Linked DNA regions of Mus musculus. The protein of the gene in region 5 purifies or fractionates together with the protein of the main gene of each other region. This does not show direct contact. Links are inferred from orthologs where the notes say so. Each region holds a gene or a part of one and is shown on either strand. Other genes may lie near its edges.

The links.
Region 1: the proteins of Mavs (region 5) and Trim25 purify together in Homo sapiens (affinity purification with western blotting; 3 studies listed by BioGRID and IntAct, with this or other methods). This does not show direct contact. The link is inferred for Mus musculus from reciprocal best matches to the Homo sapiens genes MAVS and TRIM25.
Region 2: the proteins of Mavs (region 5) and Eif2ak2 purify together in Homo sapiens (affinity purification with western blotting; 3 studies listed by BioGRID and IntAct, with this or other methods). This does not show direct contact. The link is inferred for Mus musculus from reciprocal best matches to the Homo sapiens genes MAVS and EIF2AK2.
Region 3: the proteins of Mavs (region 5) and Bag6 purify together in Homo sapiens (affinity purification with western blotting; 3 studies listed by BioGRID and IntAct, with this or other methods). This does not show direct contact. The link is inferred for Mus musculus from reciprocal best matches to the Homo sapiens genes MAVS and BAG6.
Region 4: the proteins of Mavs (region 5) and Nlrx1 purify together in Homo sapiens (affinity purification with western blotting; 4 studies listed by BioGRID and IntAct, with this or other methods). This does not show direct contact. The link is inferred for Mus musculus from reciprocal best matches to the Homo sapiens genes MAVS and NLRX1.

What each region holds. Positions count from the first base shown.
Region 1 is NC_000077.6:89,012,890-89,016,403, reverse strand, and holds part of Trim25 (E3 ubiquitin/ISG15 ligase TRIM25), read right to left. Parts: intron 2,929-3,514; coding exon 2,866-2,928; intron 1,238-2,865; coding exon 1,214-1,237; intron 872-1,213; coding exon 773-871; intron 686-772; coding exon 587-685; intron 210-586; coding exon 1-209.
Region 2 is NC_000083.6:78,869,064-78,872,577, forward strand, and holds part of Eif2ak2 (interferon-induced, double-stranded RNA-activated protein kinase), read right to left. Parts: intron 2,207-3,514; coding exon 2,086-2,206; intron 1,671-2,085; coding exon 1,591-1,670; intron 1,473-1,590; coding exon 1,424-1,472; intron 448-1,423; coding exon 413-447; intron 1-412.
Region 3 is NC_000083.6:35,134,247-35,138,302, forward strand, and holds the start of Bag6 (large proline-rich protein BAG6), read left to right. Parts: upstream 1-1,253; 5' UTR 1,254-1,272; coding exon of another isoform or gene 1,273-1,382; intron 1,383-1,401; exon of another isoform or gene 1,402-1,758; intron 1,759-1,868; coding exon of another isoform or gene 1,869-1,881; coding exon 1,882-1,989; intron 1,990-4,056. UniProt on the Homo sapiens protein: ATP-independent molecular chaperone preventing the aggregation of misfolded and hydrophobic patches-containing proteins.
Region 4 is NC_000075.6:44,265,385-44,269,695, forward strand, and holds the start of Nlrx1 (NLR family member X1), read right to left. Parts: upstream 2,804-4,311; 5' UTR 2,596-2,803; intron 482-2,595; exon of another isoform or gene 474-481; 5' UTR 430-473; coding exon 360-429; intron 1-359.
Region 5 is NC_000068.7:131,240,562-131,244,075, forward strand, and holds part of Mavs (mitochondrial antiviral-signaling protein), read left to right. Parts: intron 1-1,318; coding exon 1,319-1,488; intron 1,489-2,557; coding exon 2,558-2,711; intron 2,712-3,514.

The DNA.
Region 1 (3,514 bases), on a different chromosome or scaffold from region 5:
GCAGAAGTTGTTCTTCTGTAGTTCCACCTCCCAGTAGTGAATGCCGTTCTTGTAGCAGTGCAGCCCCAGGACCTGAGAGCAGTAGGTGAACCTCTGGGGATGGGACCGGTAGTGCTGGAGCCCATCGGACACAGAGGCGGTGGTGTACTTGTTTGACAGAGACACTTTGTTGTGGGCGGTATTGTAGTCGAAGATGACTTTCACGAAATCTGAGAAGACATTCCCCCCCCCCAGGGAATTTTGACAAGGGACCCAAGGTGCCTGCACTTTTAAAGCTTTTCTCGTCTGTTAACATTTATTTTTCTCCATCCACACATCCACATGCCCATCCATCCATCCATCTACTCTCCCATTCACCCAATCATCTAACTACCCATCCATCTACCCACCTACCCTCCCATCCAACTAACCATTCATCTATCAGAACACTTACTCAGATACACACATCACCTAGCTACCTACTCCCCAATGGGTGCATTGACCACCCATTCATCTACCTATTCATCCACCCACCTACCTGCCCATCCATCCATCCATCCATCCACCCAGGTATGCATGAAGGCACCCACAGAGCCAAGCTACTCACACTCCAGAAGCTCCGTTCTGGACTTGGTTAAGAAGTTTTCTAGCACCTTAGCCTTGACTCCTACAGAGTCTGGCTGTGCAGCACTGGCTTTGGGTGCGGCTAGAAGACAAAACAGAGAATAGTAATCAAGATGGGAACTCAGGACAAATGGTACCTAATTCCCTGGCGCCTGTGCACACCACTCACCATCAGGGGAAGTTGCTTTTGAATCCAGTGATTGGCCAGGAGCTCCAAAGGTGGGCAACTTGTTAGGTGAGAAGTGGGAGGGAGGGCCGGGAGCAACAGCTGGGAGGTGAGGAAGGACAACCATGGAATAGCAATACAACCCAGAGGACTAGATGACTTCTCTTCCCTTCCAAGATGACTCTCAACTTCCACAGACACATCTGACCAGCCAGGGCCACACAAGTGAGTCCAGACGAGGGCTCTTTATCTGCCCTACCCATTTACCATCCACCCATTCAACTATCTACCCACGCACCCCCATGGCCATCCTCACGGGCACACATTTGTAAGAACAGGTGCATCGCAGGACCCTTGTTAAAGCAGGTCAATTGTTGCTATCAATGTTAGCTCTAGACTCACACAAGTCACGAGAACAAAAAGATACACAGATGCACAACTTACGGGTTTTCTTGGTCTTCTTTTCTTCTGAAAAGGAAAGATTTTCAGATTAGGATATTTTAAAGCATGTTGTCACACACACAAGAGACCATAGTAGCACTCACCAGCATACATCTGACTCATACCAGTTAAAGAAGGATGGATTAACTTAAACTATAAGGCAGTGGCTGATAACACACATCAACAAGTGTAGGAACCCTCACCAGGGTCATGGTGGGTGGGTATACACTGTCTGTTAGGAAAGAGGAAGGAATTTTCTCTGAAGTGTTTCTGTTGATTTGGGTAATGGTGACATGGAACTCATTTGTCAGAATGTATTTGACTGTACATTTAGGGTCTGTGCATTTTACTACTGGTAGATGAGAGCCCTACAAAAGAAAGAAAGAAAAAAAAGCAAGCAAAAAAAGAGAAAGTCAGAAAATAAATAGAGCTGGTTAAGTATCACAATAGGGCTTTAAGAACACCCTGCTTTCTTTCCCAAGGGCTCCTCTTCTCCATCCAAAAAAAAAGCACAAGGTCACCAGGTGTTCCAGCCCTCAGAGGAACCGATACCGACAGCCCACACGTTAGACAAGGCACAAGCAACAATGCAACGCACGGAGTCCTCTCATCCTCCCGACACTCACTGGCACCAGGGCACCCTGATGCCATTTCATACTGACCTTGGGGAAACAGTCACAGCTTCCCTTAAGGGTTATGGAGAGCTCTCACAACCGGTATGTCCCCATGGGAACATCACTTATTTTCTTAAAATCCCATGGGCTCCAATGTCACTGTTTTCCAAATGTGAATGACAAGGAGACTCACACTCCTAACTCCATAACCACATTCTCAATGACAGGGACACCATTGTTGTTGAGGGGATGGGAACAGGGGTAAAATCCAATGCTTGAGGTGTGGGATGTAAAAAGTCTTCTCTTCTCTTCTTTTTCTGAGGCAGGGTCTCTCTACATAGCCCTGGCTGTCCTAGAAGTCACTATGTAAACCAAGCTGGCCTCAAACCCATAGAGATCCACCTGCCTCTGCCTCCCAAGTGCTGGGATCAAAGGTGTGCGCCACCAGTCTGCTTACCCGTTTTATAAATAAACCAATATACACTGTGCGTGTGTAGAATCAAATTCTCACTGGTAGGGATAATTAGGGAAACATTTTCTATAGCTCACTGGGAGAGGGCAATAGGGGGAAAGAGAGAGAAACACGGGGCTGGGAAGATGGCTCAGTGGGTGAAGCAGATGCCATGCAAGCCTGAGAACCTGAGTTCAGATCTTCAGACCCCAGATAAGGTTAGATAGGCTAGCATGCGTCTGAAATCCCAGAAGTCTTACATACAGCAAGACGATGGCTGTCTATCACAGGATCCCCAGAAGCCTCCAGGCCAGAAAGCCTGACTTATACCATGGCACGTAAGAGGCCCTGCCTCAAATAAAGTGGAGGGTAAGGACTGACACCCAAGGTTGACTCCCGATTTCCACATGTGTATCACAGTGCATGCACACACACACACACACACACACACACACACAAACACACACGTGTGAAAAACTGAGATGGTCTGTGACCATCTAGAAGCTTCAGTAGCCCCTGTGACAGTTTCAACCATGCATCTGCCAGCCACAGCCACACGGACACCAGAAAAAAAACGGGGGGCTACTTACGAATGGTCTTCTTCGAAGGTTGTACGGGTTTAAAAGTGGACTGTGTCTGGTCTCCCTTGTTACCTGTGCCGGAGAAAAGAGTCCAGCTATATGTGGATCCTCCCCACCAACTCTTAAGAGCCAAGTTTGTTGAGGCTGGGGCAGAACATCCACACAGACAGCCCTCCCACTGCATGTCCCATTCAGTCATTTGCAAGAGACAGAATCAGTGTGAGGCCGACCAATTGTGTTTGTTCCTTCTCTCCTCTGCTTCAGATACAGATGGGAAAAAGTCTCCTCCATCAGCACGCAGCTCCGGGACTTCTCTGGTTGCTCTCTCTCTCTGGCCATACATCAGGGAGAATGTGAACTTAATGGCTGATGGGACCCCTGAGTGAGGTCAAGGTGTCTGGTGTGGAGTGGAGGCTAAGTCAATGTCAGATTCTTGCCCCCTGGTCCTTTCCTCCCTCTCTTGGCAGTCTAGTTACTCATACAATCCATGTGAAGCATTTCCAGAACCTTCCATGAGGTTCAGAAGTACTTACCTGCTTCAGAAGCCCTTCTGCGAGGACACTGGGATGGCCACAGTGACGTTCAGGGCCATCACCTGCATCCCCAAAGAACAGAGTCCTACTCCCAAGAGTGGAAATGACTCTGTCAAGATGGCTCT
Region 2 (3,514 bases), on a different chromosome or scaffold from region 5:
GACTCAGAACATCCTTAGGACAAAGGTCTCCTGGGTCCCCCCTCCCTCTGGCCCTCATGCCTCTCTGATAGTGAGCCATCTGCAGTGAGATGTTCAAAGGTCACCAGAATTAGCCCCACAAAGCCATGCCACCACCCTGTCTCCCCACCCTCAAGCCCACCACTGGCGCCTGCTACATCATCACAGGGCTTTTGTATCTACAGATACAAAGATGTGAGTGTGTAAGTGTGTGGTGTGTTTCTGTGTTTCTCTCCTGCTAAATTGGTTTCCAGCTCTCCACTGCTTCTGAGACTACCACCCAAACACACACGTACAATGTTCTGTCAGTGCCACAGTCAACAGGTGAGTCTGATAGACGGAGTCTGAAAGAGATTCCTAGTCTGAAATATGTTCCGTGCACAATGATACTCACACTCCTGATTTCCTTTTATTTTCTCCGAGACCGTTCTGCAACAAAAGGAAAAGGAAGCTGTTTCAGATGAGGAGAGCCATCGTCTTAGTTTGGGAGCTGGCCCCGTGACCAGGTTCCTTACATCAGCTTCCTAGGTCGGCCATTTCTCTGAGTCGCTACCAACGCTTACTGCAGGATTGCCAAGCAGCTGTGGCATGCCATCAAATGGCCATTTGGAGGTGCACTTTCCTCATCGCTAGGGGAATGAAGCATCTTTTCCCACTCGCTGCCCACTTAGGTGTAGCACATCCCTTCAGACCATATCTGTTCTACTGGATCAACTGTCTTTTTCTTACAGACTTGTAGTTCTTAGTAAATAGATGGATTTTTACAACAAATTGCCTGATTTTTAAGTTTAGTTCTGATTCTAAGTAGGGGTGGAACTACACCAAATATTATTCAGTTGAATGGACAAGGAAAAAGAAAGTAGAAACGTTAAAAAGAACAAAGGTAAGGGCCAGGAGAGAGTTCAGTAGCAGAACTTGGCTAGAATACCTATTTATAGCTAGAATTTGAATCCCAGCACAGGGAAGGATGCAAGGAGGGAGGAGTAGGGGTAGGGGATGGAGAGTGTGAAGGAAAGAGGAGAGGGAGGAAGGGAGAGAAGGAGAGAGGGAAGGAGGGAGGGGGGAAAGAGGAAAGGAGGAAGGGAGAGAGGAAAGGGAAGAAGGGAAAAGAAAAAGGAAGGAAGGAAGGGAGGGAGGGAGGGAGGGAGGGAGGGAGGGAGGGTTACAAAGTGGGTGGGAAAGGATGGGGGAGAGTGGGGAAGAATTTTGTCCTTGAAGAAGAGAAGTTAATATGAATGAAAGTTAATAAAGAGAACAGAAAAGAGGCAATGACTGTTAATATCATGATCTAGTAAGGACATGAAACTGAAATGTAAAACTTATGAAATGATCATAATCATATGGAAAGATCACATCTAAGTGAGGAGAGAAAGGGAAATGGGAAACTTCAAGGCTGGTATCCTACCGTAAACACGTTCTCTGAGGAAAAACTTCCAGGTGCTGACTGGGAAACACTACAAGAAAAGGGGAACCTTGATGAATTCAGTCTGGTGGGGAGGGGGGGATCAGGACCCACAGCCTCAGACATGCCACACCCTCAGCCTGCCCAGCACTGTTGCCACCCAAGCTCACCCATTACTTGTCATAGACGAGCTGCTGGAAAAGCCACTGAATGTAGATGTGACAACGCTAGAGGATGTTCCGGCAGTTTTCTGAAAGAAGGGACAGCCCTTAGCATGTTCACAGGGTGCTAACTGGTCTCCCTGAGGCAGTCCATCACTGTTCACAGGGAGCTAACTGGCCTCTCTGAGGAGGTCTGTCACTGGGTACACACTACTGCACATACTCTCCCCGTGGCCACCAACTCCACAATTGCAATCACAAAATTAACACATTTTTTCATGGACGTTTGGGCTAAGTTTTAAAAAGCAACCCCGAGTTGCTATAGAACTTTTATGTCTCAGACCCTCGTGGCCCCATGGTTCGTGGATCATTGTTGGTACACAGGATGGAGGGACCATTCTTTACTCAATAGGCATATGCCCGCAGTATAAAGACAAAGCAATCTGAAGTCAATTTCAAAGGGAATCATGATTGTACAAATTAAATCTAACTGGCAACACATACCGGCGGGCTCTTTAACAGCTTCTGATAGGCTTCTTTCGCAGCCAACTGCTTTGCCTCCTGTTTGGTGACACCTGAACCAGTACCATACATTGTCTGCCCAATTTTGCATTTACAAATAAATCTAGGAAAAATTAGAGTATTCATTCACATATCAAAAATATCGTCCATCTAATGCACACTTTGAAAAGGCCCCTACAGACAAATAAAGGCCTGAAAATCAGACTAAGAATTTTTTTTATTTAGATTTATATTTCCTACCTCACATAATTTAATCCCCACAAAATGGCCATCAATCTAATGTAAATAACCAGGAGTAGCTTATATCCTTGTCTACATTTCCCAGGCAACATCTAAGTCTTTCTTGCCTCATTGAAAGACCTGACAGCAAAACACCAAGTGATGATTTAAAACAAAAACAAAAACAAAAAACCAAATGGAATCTTTCCAATCCCAAGTAGAGGGAAGAGAAGAGGGAAAGGTCTAGCACCTTTTCCAGAGCTGTTCAAATAGGAGAGAAAAACAGTTGGTAGGATGGGGCTCACAGGGGCTAAGCTCTGAGGGTACAGTACTGTGGCCTTTGGGGAAGACAGCACACTGACAATGTGCTCAGGACCTCCAGGTTCTAACCCTTGTTCACACAGCATATCCCTCACAACTGCGCTCTTCACACAGTAGGACTAAGACCGGTCCTGCTGATCCATGCTATCCGTTTATCCAAATGTGAGGAGCAGAGACTCAAGACAAGCAGCTCTCTAACCGAAACTGATATAGAGTCGTTTCCATGTACAGACAGAATGGTTCTTACACAGTTGCAGCTGCTGTGGCCTCAGGGAAGGGAAGAGCTCTTCGTCCCTGATCCATGGGCATCCTGAACTTTTTAAAAAAGTTTAGTGGACTAATTGCCCAGATGCACCTCCAAAAACCAGCAGTCCCCTCTTATTGGCAGGGGGCTGGCGGATGACTGAAACCATGGATTACATTGAACTCATTGTTCTCCTTAAACATTCCTATGATAAAGTTCATCTCATAGCCTAGATAGAAAAAGACTAACAGCCAATAATAAAATAGAACTATTAGTGCAGTATGCCCTACTTCTAGGTTTTTGAAATGGTCTTCCTCCATCTGGTTGACCAAAGATAACTGAAATTTCAAAGTAAACCAGCCAAATTGGATTGTGATAGACTCCGCAGCCTCAAACTTTTTATTTTTTTAATTTTCAAATTTATTTTTTATTTTGTGTGCATTGGTTTTTGCCTGCATGTATGTCTGTGTGGGAACGTCAGATCTTACAGTTACATACAGTTGTGAGCTGCCCTGTGGGTGCTGGGAATTGAACCTGGGTCCTCTGGAAGAGCAGTCAGTGGATGGTTGAGAAACACCAGTAGAATAGTAGGCATTTTATGTACTCCCAATCCCGTTTCTGCCACCC
Region 3 (4,056 bases), on a different chromosome or scaffold from region 5:
TTTATTTTATTTTATTTATTTTATTTTATTTGTTTGTTTTTGAGACAGGGTTTCTCTGTGTAGCCCTGGCTGTCCTTGAACTCACTTTGTAGACCAGGCTGGCCTCGAACTCAGAAATCCGCCTGCCTCTGCCTCCCAAGTGCTGGGATTAAAGGTGTGCACCACCACGCCCGGCTTTTCTTTTCCTTTTTTAAAGATTTATTTATTTTATGTATGTGAGTACACTGTCGCTGTCTTCAGACACACCAGAAGAGGGTGTCAGATCTCATTACGGATGGTTGTGAGCCACCATGTAGTTGCTGGGAATTGAACTCAGGACCTCTGGAAGAGCAGACAGTGCTCTTCATCTCTTGAGCCATCTCTCCATTCCCTTGGTCCCTTCTTAAAGTCTTGTCCTTTAATCTGATCCGCAAGGCACCCGTTCTCTTTTCTTTCTTTTTTTCTACAAAGCTCTTAAAAAGCAGCAGAAATGTCTCAAAACCAAAAAATGCAATAGAATTTTTTTTTATCCTTAAACATGGCACTCCCTCGGAGATCTCAATAAACAGGATGCTCAAAGTCTGCAAAGAGCCCAACCGGCCTAATCCCGCCAGGAACTAGAGTCGGGCACAAGCAAACACAGCCCGCGGAACGCCACCAGCCGTCCACGAAAAAGAGTGGCTTCCGGAAGAACAGAAATGATGGGAGGACCAGAGGTCTTGCAGAGTTTTAGGTAGTTAGAATTGTGCCTGTAAACGTCTCTGACCATCAAGATGGGACGTTGATTAACGAGGTGCACTCCACACAAGTCTCACAATTTTTCTCGAGGAAATTACAGCATCTCACTCAGTCATTTTTCTTTAGGCGTTTCCAGTAGCCACCCCGGTCCGGTTGCACTCTGGCGCGCGCAGGGAAGAAACGCACATAGCCGGAGGGGGGCGGGGAAGTACTTAGAGTGTGCGCACGCGTGGCGCCGCTCACGCAGGCGCAGTGCGGTCCCCCGGGCGACGACGGCGGCGGCGGCGGCTCCTCCGGGTGGTCGGCTCCCTCCCATCTCGGCCGGCCCGGGCCCGTCTCGCCCCCCAGAAACTCACTGTTCGGGGCTGTGGACTTTCTCATCGTGCCCCACGAAAGTAAATCGGGGGAGACTGGGGGAGCCGGAAGTACCGCCTCGAGATCCCCCCAAATACGATCGGGGAAACGGAAGTGGCCCTTGGTGCCAGGTTGGGGGAGACCGGAAGTGACGGTACCGTGGGGACGTCGGGGGCGGAGCCACAGGGTGGTGGGCTGTGTATGTGTGTTTGTATGTGTTTGGTCGCGTGTTGGTTAAGTCGTGTTGCTGGAATACCGAGGAGAGGCGGAGGCGGAAGGCGGGGGCGGTCAGCGAGCCCGTCCAGCCTCCCGTGAGTGTCCGCGGTCTTGGGTCGGTGGTGATTTAGGCGGGTTCGATTGTGGTGCTGCGCGTGCGCGAAGCCACTTTTCTCTGCCGAGTCTAGCGCGACCCTCCCCCCACCCCTCGCGTTGTCCTAGGATTTCCCGATCTCTCGGGCGCTTGCTCGGTCGCGACCGGTGATGACACTGGCCTCTGGTCGGTCTCGTGCTTGCTTCCCTGATTCCTAGCCCAACTGGCTCTCCCTATTGTGATTGGCATGGTGGAGCCCCTCCCACCTCTCGTCCTTCATCTCCCTATGCCGTCGATCTCCTACCCTTTGTGTTTCTGTTCCTGTGCCCCCGAATCAAAAAGGGGGGATGAGAAGGAGGATGAATATATCTGCTTGTGTATGAGAAACTTTGAAGGGATTGGGGCGGAGATTGGGTCCAGAGAGGCTTCCGGGTGTATAAAATACAGTGCGACCGACAGCGAACCCCCCCCCCTCGTTCTTCTTTAGAGAGCTGTCGGCCATGGAGCCGAGTGATAGTGCCAGTACCGCTATGGAGGAGCCTGACAGCCTGGAGGTACTGGTGAAGACCCTGGACTCTCAGACTCGGACTTTTATTGTGGGGGCCCAGGTGAGACACCAGTACTTTGTAGAAGGATGCGCCTGATTTTCTTGTCATTGACTCTTTTGTCCCTTACTGGATAGGACATCTGATGTACCTATTGAGTGAGGGGATGTGGTTACTGTTGAGTGAGGCCGATTTGGAGTCTGTCTTCACTTTGACAGAACTCAGTGAAGAGGAAAGTAGAGAGGAGGGATCTATACCTGTTCTGTGCAGACCCCAGCCCAAAGAGACAGACATGACTCTGGCCTTTGGGACCAGACACAACACAGGGGGCACCTTGGACAAGAATGGTGTGTCACAGGGACCTCAGACAAGTTTGGTGTGGGTTTTTTTTTTTTTTTTTTAAACAGAGTGTTCACAGCTTGGTACTATTTTTATAAGATTAAGGAAACCTGCTTTCATCCACTGTGAAGTAGACTTGTCAATAGCTGAGGCATGGTTTGAGCCTCCTGACCTTAGTGCACTGTGGCCACTGCATAATTCTTTGAGACAACCACCATGAGGAGGTCATTTTTGTGGTTTTTAAAGCAGATATTTAAAAAGCCACATAGACTTTTGTCTGTAGGTACATGTGATAGTTAATTTGGCCCTACCAAGAATTACTTAATGTCTTTCCGGGAGGTGGGCACAGGATCTCCTATAGCCCAGGCTAACTTTGGCCTCTGACCACTGTGCCTTCGTCGTCTATGTGGTCGTCTATGTGCTAGGATTATATGCACTATAACAGAGGACCACATCTGACTTGGCTTGGTCCTTTTTTTCTTACATAGTGAAATGTCTTAGAACTGATGGTCTTGTACTCATGATCCTCCTGTCTCTGCTTTCCAAGCTTGGAATTTCAGTTGTATGCTATTGCTATTTTTGGTTTGTTTGTTCTTTTTTTCCACCTTCCCTTATTTTTATTTATTTATTTATTGCATGTATGTGGTTCTGATGGGTACTGAACCTTGGACCTAGCACAGAGCACTTACTACTGAACCGTATATTGTGTGTTCCTTTCTGACCTTTGTTAGTTATCTTTCCAGACCCTGCCTCCCAACCCCATGGTGGTAATGGTTGTTTTGGGTTGTGTGTATTTTTGGTTTCTTTTAGAAGATTGTATTTGTTTTTATTTTATATGTGAGTGCTTTCTCTGGAAATACACATGTGCACCTTGTGTGCACTTGGTGCCTGAGAAGGTCAGACTCTGCAACCTGTGGCCTTTTCTTCATGTGGAAGTTAGGAAACTATAGCCCCAAACTATAGCCCCTACTTTGTTACAGATGGTTGTAACAACCTCGAACTCAGAAATCCGCCTGCCTCTGCCTCCGGAGTGCTGGGATTAAAGGCGTGCGCCACCACGCCCTGCTTGCTTCATTTTGTGTTTTAAGTCAGGGTTTCACTTTGCAGTCATGGCTGTCCTGGTAGTCAGATCCACCTAGCTCTGTATCCTTGAGATTAGTGGCTGTGCCAGTGCCTGTCTATCTGCATTCAGCTTTGAGATTATGGCCTTGAACACCTGCTATTGTTTTAGTTTAGAAAAGGATCACTGGTATCTCTAGATACTGGATAGCAGAGAGGGAGAAAGGGAGAGCTATTCGGCTTCTTTCGTATAGGTTTTAGTTATTTACTGTTGTTGTGATTTGGATTTTTTTTTAAATTAATTTAATCTCTGTACATTGGTCTGACTATTTTAGAACTCACTACGTAAAGCAGGCAGGCCTCAAACTCACAAGAGATCCACCTGCTTCTGCCTCTCAAATGCTGGAGGCATACACACCACGTCCCACTTATTTTTAATTATGTATTGGTATGTGTCTCTGCCTCTGGGTACAAACGCTCATAGAAGCCAGAGACACTGAGTCTCCTAAAGCTGTGTTTACCAGTAGTTGTGAGCTGCTGCCCAACGTGGATGTTGGAAATTGAACTGGAGTCCTCTGCAAGACCAGTATGAGCTCTTAATCACCGAGCCATTTCTCTAGCCACACTCTTTTATTTATTTATTTATTTATTTATTTATTTATGGACATAATAAATATCGGCCTGTTGATATAGTTGGCTAGTGAGACTGTCTGATTTTGATGTTGGCATCTG
Region 4 (4,311 bases), on a different chromosome or scaffold from region 5:
AGCCATATGATTATTTGATTATCATCCATTTCCCCCCTCCATGAGAGTAGGACTCACATCTGGTTCTGTCACAATTATATACCAAGAACCTAACCCACGGTCTGGTGCAGAGCCAACATGCAGCTAATGTCTTGGATAAAAAAAAAAAAAATGAGATTGAAACAGCTAAAAGAGGGCCAGCTCTGCTCCCCTTGTCTAAGATGGGGGGGGGGTGGAAGAGGTGACATGCCAGAGGACCCCAGCTATATTACCACACAGCTGGAAATGGTGTCTGGATCCCTGCTGTTTTGGAAGCATCCGGACCCAGAAGCAGAAGGGGCGGGGGGGTGTCAAAGCAGAAACCTTCATTTCCTGCTTACCTGGTAGCTGGGGTGTTCTTCCCAGGCCAGAGCCCCAAGAGGTCCTGGGCAAATGGCAGCCCCACCTCATCCTAGGAAAACTGGAGCCTGGAACACTTAGAGCCACTTTCTTTCCTGTTGCCCTGCAAAAAGAAAAGTGTGAGTGGGATTGGCAAATGGTTCAAGGGGTAAATACTCCTGCTACCAAGCCTGAGGACCCACATTCAATCCCAGGAACCTACAGGGTAGAACTGTTCCCCAAAGTTGTCCTTTGACCTTTGCACACAGCCAAACCTGCACCCACCATAAACAAATAAATAAACACATAAAAGAAAAACGTAAGAACAAACAAAACACCAATAAAGTAAATTTAAAAAAAACAACCCAGTACTGTGAATGTACGGCCATCAAACCTCCCTTACATGTGCATACACACACACACATACACATGGCACATGCACACATATACACAGAGACAGGCACATGCACTGACAGACACACACATACACATGGCACATGCACACAAATACACAGAGACAGGCACATGCACTGACAGACACACACACACATACACATGGCACACGCACACACACAAATATACACACATACAAACACATACATACCTCTCTCTCTCTCACACACACACACACACACACACACACACCTCTCCCTCCCTCTCTTGCTTTCTCTCGAACCCTTACCCCTAGTATCTAAGAAGGGGCCATCTCCCAAGAGAGGCTCAGCCCTTCCTCATATGTATAAAAGAAGCCTTTGAAACCCTGCCCTGGCTTCTAGCTCTCCTCAGCAAAGATAATCCTAACCTGAGTGATTCTGTTTCATCTCCTACCAGCTCCTGCCTGGCACTGGAGTTTCACAGCTGCCTCTGCCCCGAGATCCAGCCCAATCATCTGCTTTTAGGTTTTATTTTTGCTTGACTGCTAGCAAGCTCAGATAGGAGCCCTGTGCTCACTCGCAGGCCTTTTCTGAGCCTGGCTTTTTTCCCCCACTCATCCTTATTCATTTCCGTCTGCTTTTGTGCCACGGCTGAGTTTTAATGGCTGTATCACTTTATCATCTCTCTGACTTTTATGTAAGCTGCCTGTAAGGCTGGCATAAATAATAAATGGATGTGTGAATGAACTTCCTGCTTGACACAAGGATGTGCCGCCTCTGCCTCACACTTCAGCCATGCCAACCTGGCCTCGTCAGCCCCCCTCCTCTGTTTACTTTGTGGCAGAGCTCCCCCAAGCCCTGGATTCACACACTATTCCCTTGCTCTTTATTCGAAGCCTTCCCCCACAGGCAGCGGTGGCAGTCTTACAGATCTCTCCCTACTGGTTTTTGCCAGCCTCTTCATTTCATCATTTCAGAGAGATCCTTCCAGACCTTACAAAACCCTACTTCCTCAAGTCCTCTGTGCCTCCACTGTTGGCCTATTCCACTCCCTCATCCCCTGCAGAAATCAGCTCCCTAAACTCCTAAGCTACTTGACAGCTATGAAACCCAGGCCCACACAAGCTATTTTTCCAGGTTTGCCCCCAGCCCACACCTCATCCTCCAAGACTACTATTGGATTCTTGCTCTCACCTTCCTAACTCAGTCCCTATACTTTGGTTAGCATTTACTTTATCAGAATCCCAGACACTCTTTGAAGATACTGCTCAAGGTACTCTTTCCCAAGGAGTCTATTCTGGCCCACCCCATCCCACAGCTCCTTGACATGCATATGTGGCTAGGCTGGCGTGGCCTCCCTCACTGCCGCTAGGGCAGAAGGGAAGCAAACTTAGGAAGAGGCTGCACTGAGCACAACTAGCCAGAGCAGGAGCTGGCTGAGGTCTTGAGTGGGCTGGAAACAGGAGACCTGGGGATTAGAGAAAGGTCCTGAAAACCTGACAAATCCCAGGATTGACATCAATCAGCCCCAGGTCCACTGAGTCAAGATAAGACGTGCAGGGTCTAGGATAATTCTCTAATCGAGCAGTTGTCATGGCACTAATCAAAAGAAGGAATGCAACAGAAGTTGCGGAGCTTTTCCACCAAACTGGGTCCCAAATAGCTTTCCCACTTCCACTTGGCTTGGGGGCGGGGGGGCAAAGTGAAGCTGCCAGTAGGCCTGTATTCAGCGCCCAAGCTCCGGCAGAATCCCCAGTGCCACTTGCCCGCTCCCGCGACCCAGCTGCCCGGCTCTTGCTTCCGGGGCCCAGCGCAGCCGTCCAGCCGGGGGCCGGAGGAGCGATCGACCCAGTTAGGCCTTTACCCAGGTTGCCTAGGCCCTGGTGCCCGTCGCCGTGGCCCGGAGGGAAGGAGGCCTGCGTCTCCCGCTGGCTCCGAGCTTCCCCGGCTCGCTCGGCACGGCGCGTCTAGGCCGCCTCCGCCCGCCAGCCAGCGCGCAGCCCGGCCCACTCTGGCACCCCGCCCGGTCTGGACACTGGAGGGCACTGAGCAAAGACCCGCAGAAGGGGGAATGGGGTGCTGGCGCGGGGCGGAGACTCCGGCCCCACCCGGTCTTCCCAGGGCCCAGGTTCCCGTACTGCCCCCTGCAGGTTCCCAAGCGTCAGGCCCAGCCGATGACCTCATCCACCTCCAAGTCTGGACTTGATGAAGCCCATTTTACAGATGAAGACACGGAAGCGTGGAAGAGAAAATGACTCGGGCGCAGGTCGTCCCTGTTGGAAGTAGATGATTCAGAAGAAAAGCTCCGGTCTAGGCCTTCCTTACACTTAGGTACTCATCCCCAGAGCATAATGACTTCCCTTCCTGCTCACAAACGTAGCTTACCTCCAGGCAGAAGACAGCCCTTCTTGGATCCTCCCCTTCTGTGTTATTCAGTCCCAAGACTCTAGAGGGGGGCCTCTGACCACTTTGGCCAGGAAGGAAGAATGGGTACCGACAGATAACTTCCTTCTCCAACCTGTTCTTCCTGTCTGACATCCCGTCATGGTTTTAGCCTTGGGACTTCCGTGTTCTAAAAACCCCAACCCTCATCCCTTCCATTCAAGGAACACCCAAGGTTCTCGTAACCAAGCTGACAGTGACCTTCAAACAAGGAACGCCTCCACATGCAAACACTGGTGTGCAATGTGCAAAGAACAGACATGAAGTAGAGAACTCAGAGAGAGAGGCTCCTCAGGGCCGGCTGGGAAGAGGCTTTTGTGGTCTACCCTCCATAGGAACAGAAGGCCAATGGTGATAATTTTATCTAGGCGATTGTCCATTTATTCCATGTGTGGTGTTAGGCCAGTACTGAACATTCACCCTGGGCTGCCAAGCAGAGCAAGTCATGCAGGGACCCACCATACTTGACAATGAATTTCTTCAGAAGTCGAGGCAAACTATTAGGAAAATTACTACCTGCCTCTAGCAGAGACTCTGACATTTGAACTGGCTGTTAAAAAGTCAGAATGAAAAAAGTCACTGGGCAGCATGGAAAAGGGCATATTTGCATTTTAAGAGATGTTCTTCTAAGATTGGAGAATGGCTCGGCCGTTAGGAGCACTGGCTGCTCTTCCAGAGGGCCTGGGTTCCATTCCCAGCATCTACACAGCAGCTCACAACCATCTGTAACTCCATTCTCAGTGGATCTGATGCCCTCTTCTGGCCTCTTCAGGCACTGCATGTATATGGTACACAAATACACATGCATGCAAAATACCCATACACATATTTATTTGTTTGTTTATTTGTTTATTTATTTATTGGTTTTTCGAGACAGGATTTCTCTGTATATCCCTGGCTGTCCTGAAACTCACTTTGTAGACCAGGCTGGCCTTGAACTCAGAAATCCACCTGCCTCTGCCTTCCAAGTGCTGGGATTAAAGGCGTGCACCACCACCGCCCGGCTGAACATTTTTTTGCACATATTTTTTTAAATATTAAAAATAAAAGAGTCTGGGTAGAGGTAGCACATGCCTTTAATTTCAGTACAAGAAGGCAGAGGCAGGTGGATCTCTGAGTTCAAGGCCATCCTGGTCTA
Region 5 (3,514 bases):
TTCACCCTTGGACCTTCTGCCTTTCTGTCTCCATCACTCTCCATTGTAGCATATACCTGGATTTAGATCCAGCTGAGCCACTCACTAGCTATATGTCCTTTGACCATATTCCTTATTTTTTGAGTCTGTCACAGTGGGGCAAATGGCCACATCCCTCATGTGTGGCTGCACTTAGCTGGGGTTCCACATCTTCCCTTTGCCCAGCGCAAGGCACCTGCCATCATGTTTGTGGCTCTGGTGTTTCCTTCTGTCTCCATCTATACAGCGTAGAGAGTACAGAGTCTACACCCAGTCACTTTCCCTACTCTCCATTTCTATTCCCTGCCCCAAGGTTGCTCTGAGAGCATCCAGGTTCTAATGATAACACCCAACTGCCTGGTGGCCCCTTAAGTCCTCTCAATGTCACTGCCACGTCATGTGACCAGAGGGGGTTTAGTATTAGAGCTTGAAGAGAAGATCTGGGAAGAAAAACCAAGCCAATCTTGAACACACCATGTTTGCTTTTGTTTCTCTTTTCCTCCCTTCTTCCCATGTTGGTCTCTTCATTTGTGGATGCTGCAGTGCTCTCTCAAATAAGTAATGGCTATGGTAGGGTCAGAGATGGGCTGTGGCAGGGGTCGGTTGGGGATGACAGCTGTGAGAAAGCCTTGGGACAGTGGAGGAAAGTGAGTATAACAGTCAGGCTGGTGAGAGCCCTGTGCCCTGCTCCCCCATCTTTGGTGCCACCTTTCTTGTCTTTCCCAGCTCTTCTTTTCCTCCTATTCCCTCCCCATTGATGCTTATCATGTCTAATGAATCTTTCTTAGTCAGGGTTTCTATTCCTGCACAAACATCATGACCAAGAAGCAGTTGGGGAGGAAAGGGTTTATTCAGCTTACACTTCCATACTGCTGTTCATCACCAAAGGAAGTCAGGACTGGAAATTAAGCAGGTCAGAAAGCAGGAGCTGATGCAGAGGCCATGGAGGGATGTTCCTTACTGGCTTGCTTCCCCTGGCTTGCTCAGCCTGCTCTCTTATAGAACCAAGACTACCAGCCCAGAGATGGTACCACCTACAAGGGGACTTTCCCCCTTGATCACTAATTGAGGGAATGCCTTACAGCTGGATCTCGTGGAGGCATTTCCTCAACTGAAGCTCCTTTCTCTGTGATAGCTCCAGCCTGTGTCAAGTTGACACAAAACTAGCCAGTACAGAATCCATCCCACATCAGGTCATGGAGTTATTGAAGGGAGACTAGATGCCCCAAGCATCCAGGCCTCTTCTATTACCAAGGTACCTCTGATTCTTTCTGGACATCACTATATCTTTGTACCTTAGGGACCTCACTCCGCTCCCTAGAGCCACTGCAGTTACCAGACTTTCCTGCTGCGGTTTCTGGACCCTCTGCATTTGCGCCAGGTCACAACATCCCTGACCATGGCTTACGAGAGACACCAAGTTGCCCCAAGCCTGTCCAGGACACCCAGCCACCAGAGTCCCCAGTAGAGGTAAGTCCTCACAGTCTGTTTTAAGCTGCCTGCTTTTGTGTGCCTGTCTGCCCACTTCTGCCCACCCAGCCTTCCAGAAGCCCCTTCCTACCTCCTGAAAATCTTTCCTGCTAAGAATGCTGGGGTTACCTAACTGGCTACCTAACTGCTGGCCATACCTGTGGACCCCTTAGCATTCTGTCTTTAGCTAGCTAAGAGGTCATGGTTTTGAGGTCTTTGCAGTGGTCATGTGACATGTTGAGCTGGGTAAAAAAAAAAAAACAAAAAAACAAAAAAACAAAAAACTGGAGGTTAAACCAGATTTGAATGTGAGGGAGGTGATATGAGGGCTCAGGAAGTCATGGATGGGTGGTGACAGAGCTCTTATCAACTGTAAAGTCAGGTATCTGGAAGATAACTAGTTCTACTGAGATGAAGTGAGTTAGCCATGGGGTATAGAAGAAACCCTAGGCCTAGACAATGGGTCTGAAGCCATAGGGTCTGTGCAGAGACTGCTGAAGAAAGGGCAGTGGTTACAGAGCTAGACACACACATGGGGAGGAAACTTGGGCAGTGCCTGCTTTTTGTTTTGTTTTGTTTTGTTTTGTTTTGTTTTGTTTTGTTTTGTTTTTATGTTTTTTAAAGCACTTGAAGTCATCCCGAGAGGCTGGGGATGTAGCTTTCAGTTGGTGCAGTGCTGATCTGGCATACACATATCCCTGAGCTCAGTATCCAGCACCATAGAAACTGGGCATGATGACATATACCTCTAAGCCTGACACTCAGGAGGTGAGAAGCAGGTGAATGCAAAGTTCATAGTCACCCTTGGTAAGTTCAAGGCTAGGGTGAACATAAGATCTGATCCAAAAACAAAACAGCAACAGCAAAACCAAGTAGGTACTAGGATTGAAGACTTATATTTGGCAAGTATAATATTGAAGAGCTACTTCACTCTTATATGTGAAGGTTTCTGAGGATCCTGGGCTCTAGAGGAGGAGCTGAGGCCTGTAGGAGATACCCTATAAATATCTGCTGCCCTTTGTCAGCTCCTGGGAGAAGCAACTGCTTTATCTCATTTCCTCTGTTTCAGAATTCAGAGCAACTCCTCCAGACCAACTCCGGGGCCGTCGCGAGGATGTCTGGTGGCTCTTTGATACCCTCTCCTAACCAGCAGGCTCTCAGCCCTCAGCCCTCCAGAGAGCATCAAGAGCAAGAACCAGAACTGGGTGGCGCCCACGCAGCAAGTATGCATAGAGTGTGGAATTACAGGGTCTCTTGGATCCCTCGCAGGAAGGTTAGGGTTACAGTTACCATATGGCCTTCCTTAGACAGGAGGCAGGGTAGAAATAAAAGGTATTCGCTTCACAGAGTATGTTCTGTGTGCACGCCTGTGTGTGCAGTAGTGGCAGCAGCAGCTTCAAATGCAGTCATTTATGTGCACATGTCTCAGCTGGGTAGGTCTTCTTATCTCGCTGAGTTTTCTCTCAGGTGTTTACTGACATATACATGTGTTCTTCTACTATCCATTACCTGGTACCTCTTCATTCTCTTTTCTTCTAGGACAAAAACCCAACTCATGACATCTGGGCAAGGCTCTAGGTAAAAGAGAAGCAGAGCTCTGAGCATAGGCTCAGAACTGGCCTATTTCTCCTGCTCTGTTCTGTGGTCAAAATAGATTAAAATTTTAATTAATAGATTAAAATTTTAATCTGGCCAGCCCAGATTAAAAGCACATTGGAGGGTGTAGTTTTTTGCCCTGTGAGTGTGTATTTTTGTACATTGCTGCATATGAGAGAGAGCTAAGGCTGTTTCTGCACTCAGGTAAAAGGTAGTGATTGTCCAGGACCTGAAGACAGGAAAGATAACATACAATAGTAGCTGATGAAGGAGCTTTTAAACACTGCTCTTCACAAGGGGATTTCTAGTTCCCAGCTGTGGTGGTTTGAATGAGAATGGCTCCCATCGCCTTCTACATCTGAATACTTGGTCCCCAGTTGGTGGAACTGTTTAGAAAGAACTAGGGGGTGTAGTATTGTCAAAGAGGTAG